Sus scrofa: one gene and its partners. The protein of the gene in region 3 interacts with the protein of the main gene of each other region in a pairwise test. Links are inferred from orthologs where the notes say so. Each region holds a gene or a part of one and is shown on either strand. Other genes may lie near its edges.

What was found.
Region 1: the proteins of MCM10 (region 3) and MCM6 interact in binary tests that used the Homo sapiens proteins (3 or more experiments, as listed by UniProt). The two-hybrid records come from large-scale screens. The link is inferred for Sus scrofa from reciprocal best matches to the Homo sapiens genes MCM10 and MCM6.
Region 2: the proteins of MCM10 (region 3) and TRIM37 interact in a two-hybrid assay, tested with the Homo sapiens proteins (2 studies listed by BioGRID and IntAct). The link is inferred for Sus scrofa from reciprocal best matches to the Homo sapiens genes MCM10 and TRIM37.
Region 4: the proteins of MCM10 (region 3) and CEP72 interact in a two-hybrid assay, tested with the Homo sapiens proteins (2 studies listed by BioGRID and IntAct). The two-hybrid records come from large-scale screens. The link is inferred for Sus scrofa from reciprocal best matches to the Homo sapiens genes MCM10 and CEP72.

What each region holds. Positions count from the first base shown.
Region 1 is NC_010457.5:15,950,354-15,955,554, reverse strand, and holds part of MCM6 (DNA replication licensing factor MCM6), read right to left. Parts: intron 4,432-5,201; coding exon 4,303-4,431; intron 2,715-4,302; coding exon 2,553-2,714; intron 1-2,552. UniProt on the Homo sapiens protein: Acts as a component of the MCM2-7 complex (MCM complex) which is the replicative helicase essential for 'once per cell cycle' DNA replication initiation and elongation in eukaryotic cells.
Region 2 is NC_010454.4:35,284,831-35,290,031, reverse strand, and holds part of TRIM37 (E3 ubiquitin-protein ligase TRIM37), read left to right. Parts: intron 1-2,644; coding exon 2,645-2,763; intron 2,764-5,201. UniProt on the Homo sapiens protein: E3 ubiquitin-protein ligase required to prevent centriole reduplication. Probably acts by ubiquitinating positive regulators of centriole reduplication.
Region 3 is NC_010452.4:48,492,359-48,497,559, forward strand, and holds part of MCM10 (protein MCM10 homolog), read right to left. Parts: intron 4,807-5,201; coding exon 4,578-4,806; intron 3,295-4,577; coding exon 3,150-3,294; intron 2,255-3,149; coding exon 2,136-2,254; intron 984-2,135; coding exon 870-983; intron 1-869. UniProt on the Homo sapiens protein: Acts as a replication initiation factor that brings together the MCM2-7 helicase and the DNA polymerase alpha/primase complex in order to initiate DNA replication. Additionally, plays a role in preventing DNA damage during replication.
Region 4 is NC_010458.4:79,587,664-79,593,409, forward strand, and holds the start of CEP72 (centrosomal protein of 72 kDa), read right to left. Parts: upstream 3,596-5,746; 5' UTR 3,570-3,595; coding exon 3,491-3,569; intron 1-3,490. UniProt on the Homo sapiens protein: Involved in the recruitment of key centrosomal proteins to the centrosome.

The DNA of each region.
Region 1 (5,201 bases), on a different chromosome or scaffold from region 3:
CGGCCCAAGAAATGGGAAAAAGAAAAAAAGAAAAAAATAATAAATAAATAAATAAATACAAACCATGAAACCATCTAAGTGCTTAAGGAAATCCTGACAGAATTCTTTTATAATCTTAAGAGTAGGGGGAAGCCTTTCTAAGGAAACTAAGCAAAAAATGAACAAAGAATATGATCATAAAAGGAGATAGAAATGACTTTTAAATATATGCAAAAAATTAGTTTTATTCAGAAAATGTATTTGTGTATACATGTCTATTTATCATGTGAATCATGATAATTTCATGTGAATATGCTACCTACTGAAAACCGCACCCACCCCCCAAAAAAAGGGAGAAGAAAAATCTATTAGAGAGTCCCCAAAGACACATGTCAATTCTCTGAAACTTATTTTAGGAAACATTATAATGGGGGAGAAAAAAAAAGTACATGCGTCAGCACGGTTTTTAAGAATTCCTCTCCACTATGACCTGTTTTTTGTTTGTTCTCTTCAAACTCTACTATATTCCTCCAAATACCCTATGCTCTTTCTGAAACTTTCTATCTTCACTCTAAAAATGGCTATCAGGAGTTCCCGTCGTGGCTCAATGGTTAACAAATCCAACTAGGAACCATGAGGTTGCAGGTTCGATTACTGGCCTTGCTCAGTGGGTTAAGGATCCAGCATTTTCGGGAGCTGTGGTGTAGGTCGCAGATGCAGCTCGGATCCCATGTTGCTGTGGCTGTGGTGTAGGCCCACGACTACAGCTCTGATTCAACCCCTAGCCTGGGAACCACCATATGCTGCGGGAGTGGGCCTAGAAATGGCAAAAAGACCCAAAAAAAGGCTATCAAAATTCTATGCACTTTTCGGAGTTTCTGTCATGGTGCAGTGGAAAAGAATCCGACTAGGAACCATGAGGTTGCAGGTTCGATCCCTGGCCCCACTCAGTGGGTTAAGGATCAGAGGTTGCCATGAGCTGTGGTATAGGCCGTAGACACAGCTCAGATCTGATGCCACCATGGTAGTGGCTATGGCTGTGGTTGGCAGCTATAGATCTGACTGGACCCCTAGCCTGGGAACCTCCTATATGCCACAGGTATGGCTCTAAAAATTAAAAAAAAAAATTCTATATACTTTTCAGTGATCATGTTTGAATGTGGTATCTCCCCAGATACTCCTTCTTTGGGAAAAAATTCACTAATCTCTGTACTCTTTGCTGGTAATAGCTCAGTCTCCCACTCATATTTAATATGCCTAATTAAACATGTCTTGCTCTCACCAAATTATCAGTAATGGAAGACAGGAGCTCGTTTATTCATTAAATGTCCATTAAATGTCAGAAGAATCGAAAGATAATCTTTGACTCTTGACTTGATAATAAGTCACATAGGGCGAAAGTATTTTATAATTAGTAAAGCACCATTATCAGAGAATTAGAAAAAATAAACAAAAAAAAAAAAGAAAGAAAAATTAAACAAAAAGGAAAAAAAAGCCAAAAAATAAAACCTATGGAATAGAAATGGTTAATGAAGTCAGAACGGTGGTTACTTCTGGGGAAGGGTGCAAACTTTCTAGAATGATGTAAATGTTCTATATTCTGAGTTGGGTGGCCCCAAGGGTGTATGTAAAAAGTCAAACCTGTACATTTTCCTCTATGTGAATTATACATCAATCGTACTATTAAGAAAAATAGCCAAACTCTTTCCTCAAACAAAATCTAACACTGTCAAAAATATAAAGCTAGATAAAAGTAAGCTGGTTTGCTCGAAGCAGAAATGAGGGCATGAATGTTCTTCCACTCTGCTCCCTGTTTACTCCTCTAAATATCCACTGTACAACCCAGGGCTCGAAGAACAATTTAATATCCACACATTATACAAACCTAAGGAAGACAACTCTCCTTAGGAGAATGTGGGCTACGTCATTCTACCTGTATCCCCAGTCCAGAGGCCTGGCGCGTTGTAGGGTTTAAACAAGTTTCTCTCAAACGAATGGCATTAATCTTGAACTCACTACTATATATTTATCTATAATCTACATTATGATCATTTCATTACTATTAATCTAACTATTAAATTCATTAAATGCTTGACAGCAACCTTCTACAAGGGAAAAATCCCACAGTCACGTATCATATGAGCAATCAACAGTCACATTAAAAAAAAAAATCTGGGAGTTCCCATCGTGGCGCAGTGGTTAACGAATCCGACTAGGAACCATGACGTTGCAGGTTCGGTCCCTGCCCTTGCTCAGTGGGTTAACGATCCGGCGTTGCCGTGAGCTGTGGTGTAGGTTGCAGACGCGGCTCGGATCCTGCGTTGCTGTGGCTCTGGCGTAGGCCGGTGGCTACAGCTCCGATTCAACCCCTAGCCTGGGAACCTCCATATGCCGCGGGAGCGGCCCAAGAAATAGCAACAACAACAACAAAAGACAAAAATAAATAAATAAAATAAAAAAAATAAATAAAAGGAAAAAAAAAATCTGCAGCTAATGCTAGTATGTCCTACACCAAAGCTGGCTTACATAAGTCAACAAATGATTTCTCTATTATGTTGAAGTGATTTTGATACCTCATCACAGCAGTGCATCCGAGCCATTGCTTCAGAAAGACGGATCATGCTCTCGAGCTGTCGCACTGTAATCCTCCATGAAGACTTGGTTACTCCAGAACCATCCCTCTGGCGAAGGCGTTTATACTGTTCCACTATGAAGTCCTCTGACTCTTTAGAAATCTGTGTCAGAACATCAATGAAGTCAGCATTTTTACTTAAACATAAGTTTAAGAGCTTCCCAGGTGGAGATATTCTGGGGGAACTGAGAGGGTCAAAGCTTTGAAACCAATGACAAGGAATTAATACTGAAATGTCTTTTAAAAGAAACTGATACTTAGGACTGTGAATTCCATATACTAATTTTATGAACAGGGAGACAGCAGAGTTAGTATTTAAGCAAATGACCATTTCTAAAGGACATGTATACCTAAGATGCCAAAGCTCATTAAAGAAGCTACCATTCAGGCTATTCTTGAGCAGCTAATTAACTTATGCAGTTTTTGGGAAAAAGAGGAGTCAATAATTAATAGTAGTCCCACTTTATCTGTAGCTCCATTTTCTGTTACTCATGATCAACTGCAGTTTGAAAAGATTACATAGAAAATCCCAGAAATAAACAATTTATATGTTTTAAATTGTGCACTGTTCTGAGTAGTATAGTGAAATCTTATGTCACCCAATGTCCCACCCAGGGTGTGAATCATCTCTTTTTCCAGTATATCCATGCTGTATATACTACTTGCCTATTAGTCACTTAGTACCCATCTTGGTTACCAGATCAACTGTTACAGTAACAAAGGGTTTGTGCTCAAGTAACCCTTATTTTACTTAATAAAAGCCCCAAAGTGCAAGAATAGTGATGTTAGCTATTCAGTTACTCTCTTATTGTGCCTAATTTATAAATTAAGCTTTATCACAGGCATGTATGTGTAAGAAAAAAATAGTATATATAGGATTTGGTACTATCTGTGGTCAAAGGCATCCACTAAGGGTCTTGAAATATATCCCCTGTGGATATGAGGGAACTGCTATATATATATATACACACCAGATATTTTGATAAAGCTTAGTATCTACTGAATAACAAAGTGAGGCATACTAAAGAATCCTAAGTTTTTCAGAGCTAGGAAGTAAGCATGTTAAGGAAGCAGACCAAGGTAACAGAAGGACCAGCATACAGTGATGGAGAACAAATGCCTCTGCAAATTAAAGTGATGCTTCTCTTGGGACATGAGAGTCAATCCTGATTATTTTAGATAACCAAGCGAAGGAGCTGGAGAATTAAAATCTAAGGATAACTCCCAAAAGTCAAGCCAGAAATAGTGTAAAAACCTCAATGAGAATCAAAGTTTTTGATTCTACTTTAGCAAAATGCTTAAAAAAAAAAAAAAAAAAAGGCATTATAGAGGTTTATTTCAGAAACAAATGTCCAACTCAATACTCTGGATCCAGCACAGAATCCAATAAACTACATCAATTACTGTAAGATAGTTATTCATGTTCATTCACTTACAAAAATCTTTTTACTGGCATCTAACAAGTAAAAGAAATGTTAATTTTTCACTTTTAAAAAATTCCCTTTTCTCAGCTCTCACTGAAGAAAACTGTTCTCAAAAAAAAGCCCTCAAGATCAAACGAAAAAAAACAAATAACTTTAAAAAAAACACCCGAACAAGTCAAGTTCAGTTAATTTCCAGGTGATGCTTTTGTTTAAATGTAACTTTCACATACTCATAATGCCTGATTACAATTCAAAAAGGCAGGTTACCTTGGGTTTAAACTGTCTTGCAAAAAGAAGATACCTCCTGATATCATCAAGGGAATAGACACGATCAATTGAATCCTCAATTCTTGAATGCAAGTCTACTATTCGCCTGGCAATGGCATAATCTGTGACCTAATTCGAAATCAGAAAATCACTTTGATTAGTTATAACAATAAACACTTCAGGCTATCTCAGGCATTAAGAAATTATTTATGGCTAACAAACTCTAATATGCCACCGTAAGATGTATTAATGGGTTCAAGTTTCTGAGAAAAGTTTCTTCAGTTTTAATCAAAAGTTTAAATGTATACCTTTAAACTGCTCTAAGACTACTCCTGAAAGAATTAACTGATTTAATATTTTTTTCCTTTTATGGCCACACCCATGGTATACTGAAGTTCCCAATCTAGGGGTTGAATCAGAGCTGCAGCTACACAGCCATGGCAATACGAAATCTGAGCTGGATCTGCAACCTATGCTTCAGCTCACTAGATCCTTAACCCACTGAGCCAAGCCAGGGATCACACCTGCATCCTCATATAGACAATGCTGGGTCCTTAACTTGCTGGGCCACAAGGGAGAACTCCAGAAATAACTGATTTTAATATGACAGAAGTAAGACTTCTAGGGCCCTCAGTATATGACAGTCACTATTGCCCTAAGTATATCCAGAAGCAATAATTCATGCAACCCTCACAAAAACCTTATTAGGTAAGTAATATTACCCCCATTTTACAAATGAGTAAATTGTGGCCCAGAAAGATTAAGTAAGTTGTCTAACATCACAGTGATTAAGTAACAGAGAAAGGATTTGAAGATTTTACCTTCAGAGTCTGTCCTCTTAGCCACTACATTATGTTGCCACTTATGAATACATGAAGATAATCTCATAGAATTGTTAT
Region 2 (5,201 bases), on a different chromosome or scaffold from region 3:
TCCAATTCAACAACTAGCCTTGAAACCTCCATATGGACTTAAAAAGACAAAAGACAAAAAATATGTAACTTTTAAGGAGTTCCCGTTGTGGCTCAGCAGATTAAGTACCCGACTAGTGTCCATGAGGACGTAGGTTCAATCCCTGGCTTTGCTCAATGGGTTAAGGATCCAGTGTTGTTGCAAGCTGTGGCATAGGTTGCAGATGTGGCTTGGATGTGGCTGTGGTATAGGCCAGCAGCTGCAGCTCTGGTTCTACCCTAGCCTGGGAATTTCCATGTGCTGCAGGTTTGGCCCTAAAAAAAAAAAAGTAACCTTAAAGTATCAGAGACCTTACTTTTTTTTTTTCTTAACAGAATGAGATAGTCCTGGTAGTTGTTTAAATATGTTAGAGCTCATTTTCACCGAATTAGGATAATAATATTGTATAACCTTGTGTGAACTATGCCTTTTGAGATTTTTGTTTTTTGTCAACTTTTTTTCCATTTCTCCCACGCTTTTCAAAGACATTCATGCTGGGTTGTATTATGTCCCTTAGGTCTTTTACATGAATTTCATGTGGAACAAAGCATTTCTAGCAATTTTAACACTGCTTTTCTGCTTTCATCTCATTTTTTTTTTTTCCTCTGTGAAGGTGTCCTCCAAAACTCTCATTTGGAATCTTCCCAAAAGATTTGCATATATGGTCATCGGTACCTTTATCTCTCTCCCAGGAAAGAAACTCAAATCCCAGCCACGTCAGTTAAACTTGCATCTATTCAAAAGAGAGTGATTGTGGAAAGTATTGTCTGTGAATGTGCTCAATTAATTAATATCCTTCTGATCTAGGTTACGGATATTAAATACATTTCTAATTTTAAACAATGGAATAGTTCTACCTTGGAGACTGAAAAGAACTTTCAATTAAATTTAGAGAAAGATTAATATCCCTTAAGTTTTTACTTAAAATTTTATAGAATTTTAAGATCTGGATAATTACCAAATCTACAAGGACAGATGGTGGCTTAGTTTTCTGTTTCAATTCAAGCTTGAGCAGTGGAAAGGTGTTATAATCATTAAAGATTGTCTTGTCCTCCCCGTTACCCAACCTGTTTGTTTGTTTGGTTGGTTTTTGCTTTTTAGGGCCGAATCTACAGCATATGGAAGTTCCCAGTCTAAGGGTTGAATTGAAGCTACAGCTGCTGGCCACAGTCACATCTGCAACCTACACCACAGCTCATTGCAACGCCGGATCATTAACCCACTGAGCAAGGCCAGGGATCGAACTTGTGTTTTCATGGGTTCTAGTCAGATTCATTACTACTGAGCCACAATGGGAACTCCCCAACCTGGATTTATACATGTTCCTTTCAAGGTGAAGCTGCAACTCACTTTTATGTTTTATTTTGGAGACTTAAATCTGCCGTTAGTCATAATGTTTAAATGTGTATGAATGTACACTTTGGTCTAAACTGTAAAATCCTTTATAAATGTGTAAAGCTCTTAGCTAAAACCCTCATTTTTAATAATGGTTAATTATATCATTAGTCTGGCTTATGTGATGTTTTCCAGCTGTGTCTTTTTTCCTTGCCTGATTTAAGTTAGTGTAAACAAAAATTTTAAATACTAACAACAAATCATTCAAAAAATAGAAGTTAAAAAAGAATATTAAGTTAAAATTCTCCATTTTGATTCCCATCTGCTTTTATTTCCAATCCCCTGCCCACATACATTCCTGCTGTTCTTAATTATTCTTCTTCTGGCCACAGCCATGGCATGTGACAGTTCCCAGGCCAGGGATTGAACCCACACCGTAGCAGTGACCTGAGCTGCCACAGGGCCAAGGCCATATCCTTAACCCATTGCACAACAAGGGAAATCGCTGTTCTTAATATTTTATACATGCTGTATCTCCTCAGTTTTTATGCATATTTTAAGTAACTGTGACCATATAGGTTTTTTAATACAAAAGGTGCACCTTGTTTTTTCACTTAGTGTATCTCAAGTCTTTCCATATTGATGAGAATATATTATTTAGGCCTTCTATTTACATTTTTTTTTTTTTTGTCTTTTTGTCTTTTTTGTTGTTGCTATTTCTTGGGCCGCTCCCGCGGCATATGGAGGTTCCCAGGCTAGGGGTTGAATCCGAGCTGTAGCCACCGGCCTACGCCAGAGCCACAGCAATGCAGGATCCGAGCCGCGTCTGCAACCTACACCACAGCTCACGGCAACACCGGATCGTTAACCCACTGAGCAAGGGCAGGGACCGAACCCGCAACCACTGCGGATTCGTTAACCACTGCGCCACGACGGGAACTCCTACATTTATTTTTAAACAGGAACTTTTACTGGGATGATTGTAGATTCATAAGCAGTTATAGGAAATAATAACTGTGTACCTTACCTAGTTTCCCCTAATGGGAGCATTTTGCAAAATGCTGATCCATCGTCATAACCAGGATATTGACATTTATGCAGTCTACCACTTTATAACCTTTCATTGTGAGTCTTCTAGTGAAAATTTTAAGAATTAAACTTGAATTTAGCATTAAACACCAGTGCCCTATACCTACTTAGTTTCCTTAGTTTCTGGACAAGAAGACAATCTAGATTATTATATCCCTGACTAGTTATACAAAAATATCAGGTTATTTTCTTTCTCTTTGAGGACTAATGCTAAAGGAGGTCGTCTGGAAGGAATGCAAATGACTGACTTGGAAAATAATTCTGAAACTGGGGAATTACAGCCTATACTACCCGAAGGAGCTTCATCTGCCCCAGAGGAAGGTAAGGAATGATAAAGCCATAATTGGGTGGGAGGCAGAATAATGATTTTTTTTTATTTTTTTTTTTTTTTTGGTGGTGGTGGGGAGTAGTGGGTATAATAAAAAATTACTGAGATATCTGTCTGACATGCTTGATCTGAAAACAGCCTTCAGTGTTCCACTAAGTTTGATTTACTAAGATGTTGAGCATGGGGGAAGGCAAAACGGGTAACTGACTACATAAAGGGACACTTATTAGAAGGGGCACTTGCAGGGGGAAAGATCTGTAGATACTTCATTTGCTCATTCATTAAATGTGTTATGCCACCTACAGGTAGACATTGCTTTTTGGCTATATATGAAAAGACAAAATTGGATATGTGCACTGTCTTATGGGAAAACCATACCCCCAAACAACTAATTAGAGTAGTAAATGTTAAGTACCTCATCTTTTAAAGATTAACTCATCTTTAATTAGTTGTGATTAATGTTCATGGATTGCTTGCTCTTAGAGAAGTATTCCAAAATTTAACTACTTAAAAAAAATCCTTTGTGTGGTAATCAACTTCTCTCTGCTAGTTTATTCTCAGTTACATTTCTGGTATTCTTCTACATGTTCTTCCAGGTTCATTATGCTTTATCTAAAAGCATAGAACACATTTTGTAATTTTGAGTTAATGGAAGCTGCTTGAAACAAGGCTGTGTATGTTGTCCTTGCTTGTCCTTTATTTGTTAGAAAAATACATCAACTTTATTAATGATATTTGACATTGAAGTTTTTTTCATTTCTCAGTGGAACTGTGCCACCTACCACCTCTGCACTCATTTAAATTTTCAACAATTGATGAATTGTAGCTCAGAGCATATATAACAGGTGCCAGCATCTACCTCTGGCTGCCCTGAGAATATGTGTGGGTGGTGGTGTGTTCAGGTTCTTTAGTTAAAGAACACTAAACATTTTGATCTTTCCTCTTTGTTGGTGCTCCTGTGGCAGGCATCATTATCTCGGTAGATGAGATTTAATGGAAAAGATATTTAAAATGAAATGTTGTTTTGTTGTTTTTTTAATTTTATTTTTTTGTCCACACCGTGGTCCACAGACATTCCTAGGCCAGGGATAAAACCTGAACTGCAGCATTGACCTGAGCTGCAACATTGACAACTCTGGGTCCTTACACACTGAGCCACAGAGGAACTGCTAAAGTGAAGTGTTGATTATTATAACATTAGGGGGAAAATATCATGATTGTTGATCTTTATAGAACTGACCTGTAGGGATTAGCTAGTTTCCATGTATTTGTACATGCTGATTATAAATTTTAGTGCCTTAAATTTTTGTAGCAAGTGCTGTAATTATAGGATCCTTTTATTTATGCAGCGTTTGTGTACTGCTTCTAATTTGCCTGGCATTGTTTTGATGCTGGTGATAAAGTAATTCCTGGACCTACTGCTTAATTTAGTGTTTTCTGCTTGACACCATTGACATTTTAGGTGAGGTGATTCTTTGTATTAGAGGGCTGCCCTGTGTATGGTAGAATGTTTAGAAGCATTCTTGGTTTTTAACCACTACCTACCAGTAGTACCACCTCTGAATTACAGTAACCAAAAATATTTCCAGATATTGCCAAATGTCCTCTGAGAGGCAAAATCATCCCCAGTTGAGAACCACTGGTTGAGTTGAATAACTCAGCTAGGGGTGCCAACTCCTTAAGGGTCAGGTGCCAGAGTTACAGATGGGACCAGGTTGTAGTTCTTGGGTACACTGGATATGCGTAGGCGATGGTGGGAGCTGGGCCGGGAGAGCAGTTGAAAAACCAGCCATCAGGGGAGTTCCCTTGTGTTGTAGTGGTTAGGACTTGGCACTTTAATTATGTAGCCTGGGTTCAGTTCCTGATCTGGGAACTGGGATCCCACATCAAGCCACTGGATGCTGCAGCCAAATGAAAAAATAAAGGAATTCCCTAATGGCTTATGGGATTAAGGATCTGGTATTGTCAGCTCATAGCAGTGGCTCAGATTCTGTCCTTGGCCTGTGAACTTCTGTGTGCCATGCGTGTGGCCAAAAATAAAAAGTAAAAGCAAGAAAGGAGAAAAAATAAACCACTGCTTAGGTATCAGAGGCCAGTTAATAGCCAATTTTAACTCATTCTATGAGACCACCATCACTCTGATACCAAAACCAAAGATGCCACAGAAAAACTTACAGACCAATTTCACTGATGAACATAGATGCAAAAATCCTCAACAAAATGCTAACAAACCAAATCCAACAATACATTAAAAGGATCGTACATCATGATCAAGTGGAATTTATCCCAGTAATGCAAGGATTCTTCAATAACTGCCTTCACCTCAAAAATTCACAACATGTCAGCAATTTTTTAGGTAAATAGCTAGTTAGCACTGCAAAAAGTTTTGACATTCGTTCCATTTCTTTTTCAAAGCTAATCATTAACAGCT
Region 3 (5,201 bases):
CAATGGAATACTACTCAGCCATGAAGCAGAACAAAATAATGCCATTCGCAGCAACATGGATGGAAACAGAGACTCATACTAAGTGAAAAATAAGTCAGAGAGAGAAAGACAAATACCATATATCACTTATATCTGGAATCTAATGTACAGTACAAATAAACCTTTCCACAGAAAAGGATCTCATGGACTTGGAAAACAGACTTGTGGTTGCCAAGGGGGAGGGGAAGGGAGTGGGATGGACTGGGAATTTACGGTTAGTAGATTCAAACTGTTGCATTTAGAGTGGATAAGCAATGAGATCCTGCTGTATAGCACTGGGAACTATATCAAGTCACTTGGGATGGAGCAGGATGAAGGATAATGTGAGAAGACAAAGAATGTATATATGTATGTGTGACTGGGTCGCTTTGCTGTAGAGTAGAAAATTGACAGAACACTGTAAACCAACTATATTGGAAAAAATAAAAATCATTAAAAAAAAAAAAAAAAAAGAACCCAACTATAGCAGCTTGGGTCACTATGAAGGTGCAGGTTCAATCCCTGGCCTGGTGCTCAAGTTGTTCAAACAAGGCCCCAGGGACTGGGAACTATGGACTAAGGATGTGCTCAAACTTGAGGAGGAGAGAGAGGAATACTCAAGCCCAAAGGTAAAGGGGGAAGAGGCTGGTCCGCAGAACTGCGAGCTGTGGCCAAATGAGGAACATCTCATCACAAAGGCACTGCCATGAGGGTCACGGGAAGACAGGTCCTGGGCTATCACATGCCATTGAGTTTCCAGCCCAATGAAATGAACTTCGCAGGACTCCAGTCACAAGACACGGCCCCACGGCCCCCGAGTCTCCCCGCTGAGAGCCGTCTCCTGCACTCACCGTCTTGCACGTCACCACTCGACATTTCACTTCCCGGATGTTTCTCATTTTTTCTTCCATTTGTTCTTTCTTCACCAGGGGTTCAAAATACTGCTCTTGTAGCTCAGCCTCAGCCTGGAATGACAAGACACCCAGAAGACCTCGTACCAGATCCAATATATATTCAAGCATCTGTTCAATAATAATCAAATCAGAACTGAAAAGACAAGCTAACCGTATGAGGACACGTGGTAGTGGCTCAATGAACTGCAAGCCAAAGATAGTTAACTAGAAACAAGCTCTTAATAGGCAAAAAGAGGGTATGAAAGCATCTGGTGATGTGTAAAACACTAAATATGAATTTAAACTATTGACATGATTAACAAAGTCATCAGGCCAAGTGTGCACCAAAAGCTAACTATTTCTTTTTTTAAAGAAATTTATTTATTTATTTTTGCATTTTAGGGCTGCACCTGAGGCATATGGAGGTTCCCAGGCTAGGGGTCTAATTGGAGCTACAGCTGCCAGCCTACACCACAGCCATAGCAACACCAGAGCCAAGCTATGTCTGCAACCTATACCACAGGTCATGGTAACGCCTAATCTTTCACTCACTGAGCGAGGCCAGGGATCGAACCCGAAACCTCATGGTTCCTAGTCGGATTCATTTCCACTGCACCACGAAGTAACTCCCAAGGGAACTATTTCTACTGCTGCAATACAGACTCGGCTACAGAGGTGCCAGATGCCTCCCCAGTCCATTCGATATTCTCAAGACAAAGCACTTGGCAGGAGCAAGCCCTGCTTGTTTAGAATGATAGTGAGACGGTAAAAGCGCAGAGAAATCTTTACTGTAGGATGTGGTCACAGTGCTGGAGCCAGCACAGCTACACAAGGCACAAAGGCAAGGTCTTTGGTGGTGACAAGAGCAAGGAGCTCTGCTGTAAGGTCTTTTCAGGGTCGGCCTGAGCACCTCTCCTGAATGAGTTTCAATTCCAGTAGAAAGAAATAACATACGACCATCTCCTTAGTCATTTGTTAGTCAAAAGAAGGGCAGGAGTTCCCATTGCGACTCAGTGAGTTAAGAATCCGACATAGTGTCCCCGAGGATTCCATCCCTGGCCTCACTCAGTGGGTTAAGGATCCGGCATTGCCGCAAGCTGAAGCTCCAATTCAATCCCCAGTCAGGCAACTTCCACATGCCACAGATACACCCTAAAAAAAAAAAAAAAGTGCCCAGGTCTGAGGATATCTCTGTCACCTTGGACTTTCTGGGCTCTTTCATACCTCTTTTAGAACATCCGTGTGCCTTGATTTTGCTTTGAGAAGTGTCTGAAATTCCTCAGATTCCAGGTAAGCAAGCTGTTCTCTTCTTTTTTTCCTGGCAGGCTCCAGTTCATCCTCAGCTAGAGCAAAAAGGAAAAGTGTGAGCCGTTACAGAGGCATTTCCCAGCCAGTGAGTCTCACCGACTCTGCTGCTCCTATTTCCTCTGCCTCCCTCTACAACCCTTCAAAGGGAATTCACCCCCGCCTTGGTACCAGAAAATAAGGCTCTTAAAGAAGTGAGTTGAGGAGTTCCCGTTGTGGCTCAGTGGTTGATGAATCTGACTAGGAACCATAAGGTTTTGGGTTCGATCCCTGGCCTCGCTCAGTGGATTAAGAATCTGGCGCTGCCGTGAGCTGTGGTGTAGGTTGCAGATACAGCTCAGATCCCGCATTGCTGTGGCTCTGGCGTAGGCTGGCGACTAAAGCTCCGATTGGACCCCTGGCCTGGGAACGTCCATTTGCCTTGGGTATGGCCCTAGAAAAGACAAAAAAAAAAAAAAAAAAAGAAGAGGTGAGTTGAGAAGTAAGAACTAGAATAGGGGTAGTTTAAATTAGACTCTCTTTTTCACCTTAAAATAAGAGCCAATTATGACCAGAGATAACAACAAAATCCCTATTCACAAACTGATGTTAAAATGACACTGCCAACTTCAGAGTTTTAAAAAAGATAAAAACCGGGCAATTTAAAGCCAAGGAATTCTACTTCTTTCAAAGTAAATCTTTATACTAATATATATGTGCAAAGATTCAATGAAATAATCTCAAGCTTTCAAGTTGTGCATAATTCCATTTTAATTTAATGTGATTATAAGAAACAATCAGTTCTCGCTGTAGAAATTCTATTTAGGTATTCCTCACAGAGGTAAACGGAAGTAAAATAATGACTTTTGATGTCAGAGAAGCTGGTTACGTTTTGGAATGTTTCCTTTGTAAGTGGTGTCTCTTTCACATTGCTAGGTTTTAAAGTTGCAGTACCTTGCAGAGAAAATGTGCTGTTCTTTTCCACACGTTCCTTCACTTCCAGGACATCCTGAGGTTTCTTTAGTTTCTTCTGGATGCTGTTTGGGTCTGTTTTTGTAAGAATCTGGCCTTTTGCCCTTAATTTGGTTATAGCAGCTAACTAGAAAAACAGAAAGAGAGGGAGCTGAAAATCTAAAAGATAAGCACCTGTAGCTCTGGGCCCATTTCCAGTGATTAAGCAGTAAATTCTGGCTGTTCTCAGATATGTATTAGCAAAATATATCTTCATTTTACTTGGCAGTGTTAACACAAGTATGAAACTTTAAAAGAATGAAAGACAGGTCTCTAAGTTGGGAAGCCAACTTTCAGCTCAGTTCAATATCAATAATTACTTTAACATTAGCTAATCCACAGGCTTTGAGACCCATAGAGGAACCACACAAACATTTTGGAAGTTTGTTTCAGAATAGACAAAATTAGGATAGAGTTCCAGCTCTGCCACTTACTAGTATGTAACCTGACCTAATTGTTCAGCCTTAGTTTCCACATTTATAAAATGGGGATGACAGCACTAACTTATCTTTTATAGTTGGGGTTCTGAGAATAAAATGAGATAATGCCAGCAAAACAGGTACCCATACCTAGTAAACAGAATGTATGCACATATCACAGAATATTAGAAATATATCATGTAATTGCTATTACGATTATTATAGGTACAGCTTTGGCTTGCAGGCAGCCTTTGCCCTTCCTGTGGTTCTGGCTGTTACCCAAAACAGAGAATACAGGCTCTAGTCGGGGCACAGGCAACTCAGGAGGAGAGGTGGAAACTGCTGAGCAGGTGGGGTTCTGACTACCCCCAACTCCCACTTCAGTCAGAGCAACTTAGCTTCTATCTGTTTGCAGACTGGACTTCTGTGTAAGATTTCTTTTTTTTTTATTTTTTATTTTTTTGTCTTTTTGCCATTTCTTGGGCCGTGTCACGGCAACGCCGGATCATTAACCCACTAAGCAAGGGCAGGGATTGAACCCACAACCTCATGTTTCCTAGTCGGAATCGTTAACCACTGCGCCACGACGGGAACTCCTGTGTAAGATTTCTTTTAAAGAGGGCTTCTCCTAATTATTATTTGACAATTCAATTGCTGAAACAATTCCAAAGACGTTTCCCCCTAATCTAAGGTGTCTAGCTATAAAACAGTATCTTCTAAGTTATCTCCTACAGCCTGACAGGAAACAGAATGGAGATAATGGCTGTATTAAATTAATGGCACTATGTCGACACCCATTATCATTTAAAATTCTTTCAACTCTAATTGTCATGACCCATAAACAAGCATGAGGTGACTTGTCTTTCCTGGCCACAGGTACATCATGTTTAAAACTCCAACCGTGTCTCTCAGAATGCACATTCCAGTGGTAAAGATAACGCATGGCAGCTACCTTTTTGGCTTCTGCTAAAGCACTGAGTTTTGGTCTTGGTGGTGGTGACTTGTCAAAAAGGAGGACATCATCTCCTTCTGAGATGCCTCTTCCGAGCTTGGGCGTCTGAATGGCTGGGGTTCCGTTCATCTTGGGGAGCTTGGCCCCAGTTGGTGGAGAACAAGAAAGGGGCTCCCGAGAAGAGGACGGCACAGCTGGGCTCTCAGCTTCACTTGAGCTCTGGAGAAATCTTTAAAGAAATAGGCAGTCACAAACTAAACACACAGACTGGGAGGCTGCAGGCAAGCCAGAACTGAGAAGTAGTTGTGAGTAAAACTTTTTCTCCTTGGTTATTAATTCAGATTAGCACATAGAAATACAAAACTAGTCTAACTCCTCAGTTAACTGAGTTTTGGTTGAATCAGTGCTAACTGTTTCACCAATTTAGAACTGATTATTATTTTTATCAGCAGGCTTCTCAATGGGTGCAGTCTAAGGAGCACCTTCCGTCCTGAAGGTGAGCTGCTGACTGTGATCCCAGACATCTGGTTAGCTCTGGACTGTTCAGGAACTCATGAAGTCTCTGCACTTGTTCACTCTACTGGGAAGGTGTAACACGTTATACATTTGGAAGTCCTAACAGAA
Region 4 (5,746 bases), on a different chromosome or scaffold from region 3:
CAACAGGCACGTGAAAAAATGCTCAACATCACTCATTATTAGAGAAATGCATATCAAAACTACTATGAGGTACCACTTCACACACCTGTCAGAATGGCCTTCTTGAGTAAGTCTACAGATGCTGGAGGGGATGTGGAGAAAAGGGAACCCTCCTACGCTGTTGGTGGGAACGTAAATTGGTCCAACCACTGTGGAAAACAGTATGGAGATTCCTCAGAAAACTAAAAATAGAACTACATTTGATCCAGCAATCCCACTCCTGGGCATATATCTGGATAAAACTTTCCTTGAAAAAGATACATGCACCACTTATGTTCACTGCAGCTCTATTCACAATAGCCAAGACATGGAAACAAACTGAATGCCCACTGACACATGAATGAATTAAGAAGATGTGGTATATACACCCAATGGAACATTACTCAGCCATAAAAAGGAACAAAATAATGCCATTCGAAGCAACATGGAACTAAAGACTCTCATACTAAGTAAAGTAAATCAGAAAGAGAAAGGCAAATACCATATGATATCACTTATATCTGGAATCTAATGCATGGCACAAACAAACCTTTCCACAGAAAAGAAACTCATGGACTTGGAGAACAGACTTGTGGTTGCCAAGGGGTAGGGAGTGGGATGACTGGGAGTCTGGGGTTAACAGATGCAAACTATTGCATTTGGAGTGGATAAGCCGTCAGATCCTGCTGTACAGCACAGGGAACTATATCTAGTCACTTATGATGGAACATGATAGGGGATAATGTGAGAAAAAGAATGTATATGTATGTGTGACTGGGTCACTTTGCTGCACAGTAGAAATTAACAGAATACTGTAAACCAACTGTAATGGAAAAAATAATCTTAAAAATACTTACATTAAATGTAAATGGTCTAAATACACTATACAAGACAGAAACTGGCAGTGGATAAAAATAATATACAATATACACGGCCTACAAGAAACTCATTTCAAATATTATGATATAGGTAGTTTAAAAATGAGATTGTAAACAGATGGGTAAAGATATGCCCTGCAAACCAAACCAAAGAAAGCTGGAGCGGCTACATTAAGATCAGATAAAGCAGATGTCTCACCACAGAAAATTATCAGGGATAAGGAGAAATATTACATATGCTACAAAGGTCACTCCAAAAAGAGGACTTAAAAATCCTAAAAATGTATGCACTAAACAGCACAGTTTCAAAACATAAAGAGTGAAAACAGTAATATAATTCCACAATTATAGTTGTAATTTTCAATACTCTTCTCCTGGTAATTAACAGAATCACTACATGGAAAATCAGCGGGGCCATAAAAGACCCGCACAACATCTTAAGTCACCAGGATCAAACGGAATTTTACATTCCAGTAAGTGACAGGGGACACGCTCCTCCCAAGTGCTCTTAGAACATTTACCAATAGAGACCAGGTCTTGGGCCATTAAACAAACCTCAACAAATTTAAAACAGTACAGAGCATATGAAATATGTTTTCTTTTTTTGTTTTGGTGGGTTTTTTTTTTTTGTTTTTTTAGGGCTGCACCCGTGGTATATGTTGGTTCCCAGGCTAGAGGTTGCATCAGAGCTACAGCTGCTGGCCTAAGCCACAGCCACACCAGATCTAAGCTGCATCTGCAACCTACACTGTGGCTCACGGCAATTAAGGGTCCTTAACCCACTGAGCGGGGCCAGGGATGGAACTGGAGTTCTAATGGATACTAGTCTGGTTCACTACCACTGAGCCACGACAGGAACTCCCTAGAGTATGTCTTCTGACCATCATGGAATTACACCAGAATCAATAACAGAAAGAAAGAGGAGTTCCCTTCATGGCACAGTGGTTAACGAATCCGACGAGGAACCATGAGGTTGCGGGTTTGGTCCCTGCCCTTGCTCAGTGGGTTAACGATCCAGCGTTGCCGTGAGCTGCTTGCGGTGTAGCCTGGGAACCTCCATATGCTGCGGGAGCGGCCCAAGAAATAGCAAAAAGACCAGAAAAAAAAAAAAAACCTAAGAAAATTTCCATATGAATATGAAAAGACACGCTTCTGAATAATCCATAGGTCAAAAAGGAAGTCAAGAGAACTCATGAAAAAGAGCAAACTAAATGAAAATACAACAAAACCTGCAGATGCAGCTAAAGCTGTGCCTAGAGGGAATTTTTTTTTTTTTTATGCTTTTTAGGGCCGCACCAGTGGCATATGGAAGTTCCCAGGCTAGGGGTCCAATTGGAGCTACAACTGCCAGCCTACACCACAGCTCCCAGCAACACCAGATCCTTAACCCACTGAGCAAGGCCAGGGTTTGAACTTGCATCCTCATGGATGCTACTCAGATTTGTTAACCACTGAGCCATGACGGGAACTCCTAGAAGGAAATTTTTAGTACTAAAAGTTTACGTTATATAAAAAGGTCTCAAATTAGTAATCTAAACTTCCATCTGCTGAACTGAGAAAAAGAGCAAATAAATGCAAAACAGGAGAAAGAAGAATAAAGAATATAGAACCAATAAAATGTGAAAGCAGAAAACCAATGGAGAAAACTCCAAAGTTAGCCCATTGAAAAGATTAATAAAATTAATAAACCTCTACAAAGACCAAGACAGAAGACAAAAATGACCAATAGCAAGAATAGAAGAGTATCACACAGACCACAGACATTAACAGGCTAACAAAGAAATACCACAAACTCTATACATATAAATTTAACAACTTTGACGAAAAGGATCAGTTGTTTTCCTAAAACCCCAGACAACTGTAACTCACCTAAAATGAAGTTGATAACATGAATAATTCTATAACAACTGGAGAATTTGTAATTTCAAAGTTTCAAATACAGAAACGTCCAGGCCCAGGAGGTTTCACTGGAAACTCAGCATCAATTTTACACAAACTCCTCTAGAAAACAACTTACCAGCGATTTCATGAGCTCGGCACTACCTTGATGCCCAAACCAGACAAAAACAGGGAAAAAGAAAACTAGCGACCAATACCCGTCATGAGCCCAGGGACAGAGACCCTTGCCCAGGAGGGGCCGCGTCCAGGAAAACACCCACAGGAGGAGGACGGGCTGGTCCTCAGAGACGAGGGCGCTCGGGCCTTAGATTAGAAAGCCCATCTAACCCACTTCATCACCCAAGCGGTCTTACCGAGCAACGCAAAAAGCACCCCTCAAAGGGCTCGGCCAGCCGGGCGTGCACGGGGCACCCCCGGGCCCCACCTCCCTCGGGGCGGGATCCGCTCCCTCCTCCCCACGCTCCCGGAGGGCGACCCCCACCCCCACCCCCGCCCCCCCGGCCCGGCCCCGACTCACCCGCCCCCGGCCCGGCCCCCGGGGCGGCCAGCCACCCGCTCCCTCGCCCTCGAGGCCCGCGACCATTCGGTAGCCGCGCGGGAGCGTTTTGGCCCCTCGGGCCTGACCGACCGCAGACCCCCGAGGCGGGAAGCTCGTGCCCCCGGCCAGCGCCGCCCGCCCGCCGCCCAGCGCGCACCCAGGTCGCAGTGAGGCGCCAGGCCGCTCTTCTCCCGGATCTTCTCCTCACACAGCACCAGCCGCGCCGCCGGCGCCATGCTTTCAAACGGCGCGCACCTGCCCGCGCTCGCCCGCGCCTGCGCGCTGGACGGAGGAAGGGGCCGGGGGCGGGGCCGGGGGCGGGGCCTGGGGCGGGGCCGGGGCCGAGGACCTCCGTCGGGTGTGGGGAAACCGCCAAGGAAGCCTGGAGAAGGGGTTGGGAAAGTCGAAACACGCCCCAGGGCTTACCTGAGGACCCTCCCTCACTTGGGGACCTGCCCCACCTGGGAACCCTACCCACCCCTAGATTTGCCTGCGTCCTGGGCTCCGGGCGCCCCAGGTTCTGGGGGGGGGGTTCTAGGGGTCGTCCTCTGTCCCCACCCTCAATTTCCAAATGATGGAGTATGAAGTCCTGCTTTAAGACTCATAGCTGACACGGGGTTCATTGTCCTGTGTCTCACCTTTAGAGATTTCCATTCTGGGTCTGAGGCTGCCCCCTCCCTTCTGGGTCTCCTGGTGTCTGGAGGTGCCCCTGGTACCTCTCACCCCAGCCTTGACTATCACAGCTCCCAGGGGTGGGGGGGGAGTAGCCTGGGGGCTATAGATGGGGTATAGGAACAGGGGGTTCAGGGAAAGGTGTAGGGTGCACACAGAGGGCTGAGGTGCAGGGGAGGCATCAGGGGAGCCAAGTCTCTCCTGAGCAGGGAAGGCTTCCAAACTCATGCACAGGCCTCTTGGGGCCTGAGTCATTCACTGACCACTCAGTAAGACTTTGAGTCAAGACTGTCACGTAACTGACAAAAGTTCTAGTCCAGATACCGCCCAGTGTTCTGCATCCTACATGACCGAGGAGGGCCTCCGGACTTCCAAGGCCAGGCTTGTGGTCACCAACCAGGTGCCCTTGAGTGGAGCTGCTGCAGCCAGGAGGCTAGAAGCAGTCAGCAAATATCCTGGCTATCAGAAGTAAATGGAGGCAAACAAAAGGTTTCTGTCACTGTCCCCCCAAAAAAGAAGCTTGTCAGCCAAGCTGCAGTCCACACTCAAACACCACTGCTTCCTCCTGCTGCCGGTCACCTCAGGCTGGAGGTGTTGAAGCCTGGTCCCGAGGCTTTTACAGCTTTCTAGAACATTCCAGGGAGGCTCCAGGCCCATCAAACTTGAGCCCCAAATGGAAGGGTCAGCCCATCTCAAGGAAGAGGTTGGCAACAGAGACCTGAGGATGGGCATGTGTCAGCTCTGTGGGCTGGGTGGCCAGAGGGGTCCTCTAGGGCCCTGGCAGCCTGGCAGCCTGGCACGTCCTAGGCTTCTCCTACACTTGGACTGGCCTTGGCTGGGAAGGGGTGGGGGCAGGAGGAGAGGGGAGCTCGTCCAGGCCCCAGAAGCAGAGTGGCTGCAGCGCTGGCTGGGCGCGCCTGGGGAACGGGGCAAGTTGTCCTGAGTCACCACCTCTCCGTCCTGGGGTGAGCACCGTCGCTGTCGCTTCACCACATGGACGTGCCAGCCAACCGGGTGCCTTTGGACCAAACGTCAGTGTCAGATTCGAGCCCAGGCCTGCGCTGCGTCTGCACCAGGCCCTCCGAACAGGCGTCAGGGAGCTCCCCAAGCCTGAAGACCCTCACAACCACGTCTCCGAGCTCCACTGAACACACACACGCACTTGTTCACACTCATGCCCCTTTACACACCTCTGACAGCCACTCTGACCCTGGGCCCGTGGGAGGTACCACCCAGTGGCCAGTGCTCTGCGGCCTCACCCGACCCCCTGGACCGAGTGAAGGAGGGTCTCACCGATGACAGCTGCTGGCTCGTTCTTCACGAATGTTGGACAAAGGAACCCTTTCCTGGGTCTTTTTCTGCACAGGGTCAAGGCCAGCATCTATGAGCTGTCAATGCTTCGTTTGGCCAAGTAGTAACCTCCATCCGGCGTGAGGTGAGAGGCAGGGAGGGCCTCCGGAGGCTGCTGGAAGGGAAGCAGGTGGAGGACTGGGGGCGCCTGTGGACATCGTGCGTCCTCCCTGGCTCCTCTTAACCCAGAGAGCAGAGTTGTGTTTCACTGACGAGTGCGTGGAAACGCCTGTATCTAGCGAGGCCTTGGGAAGAGGAAGCGGAGGCCAGCTGCTTCCTACAGTTGCCGATACCTAAAAACCTGAGATGTCTCAGGAAAATCAAAACCTCCTCCTCTTTCTGAAAGTAGGGAGACAGGACAGCGGGGCCCATCCTTCTCCTGTGCAGCAGC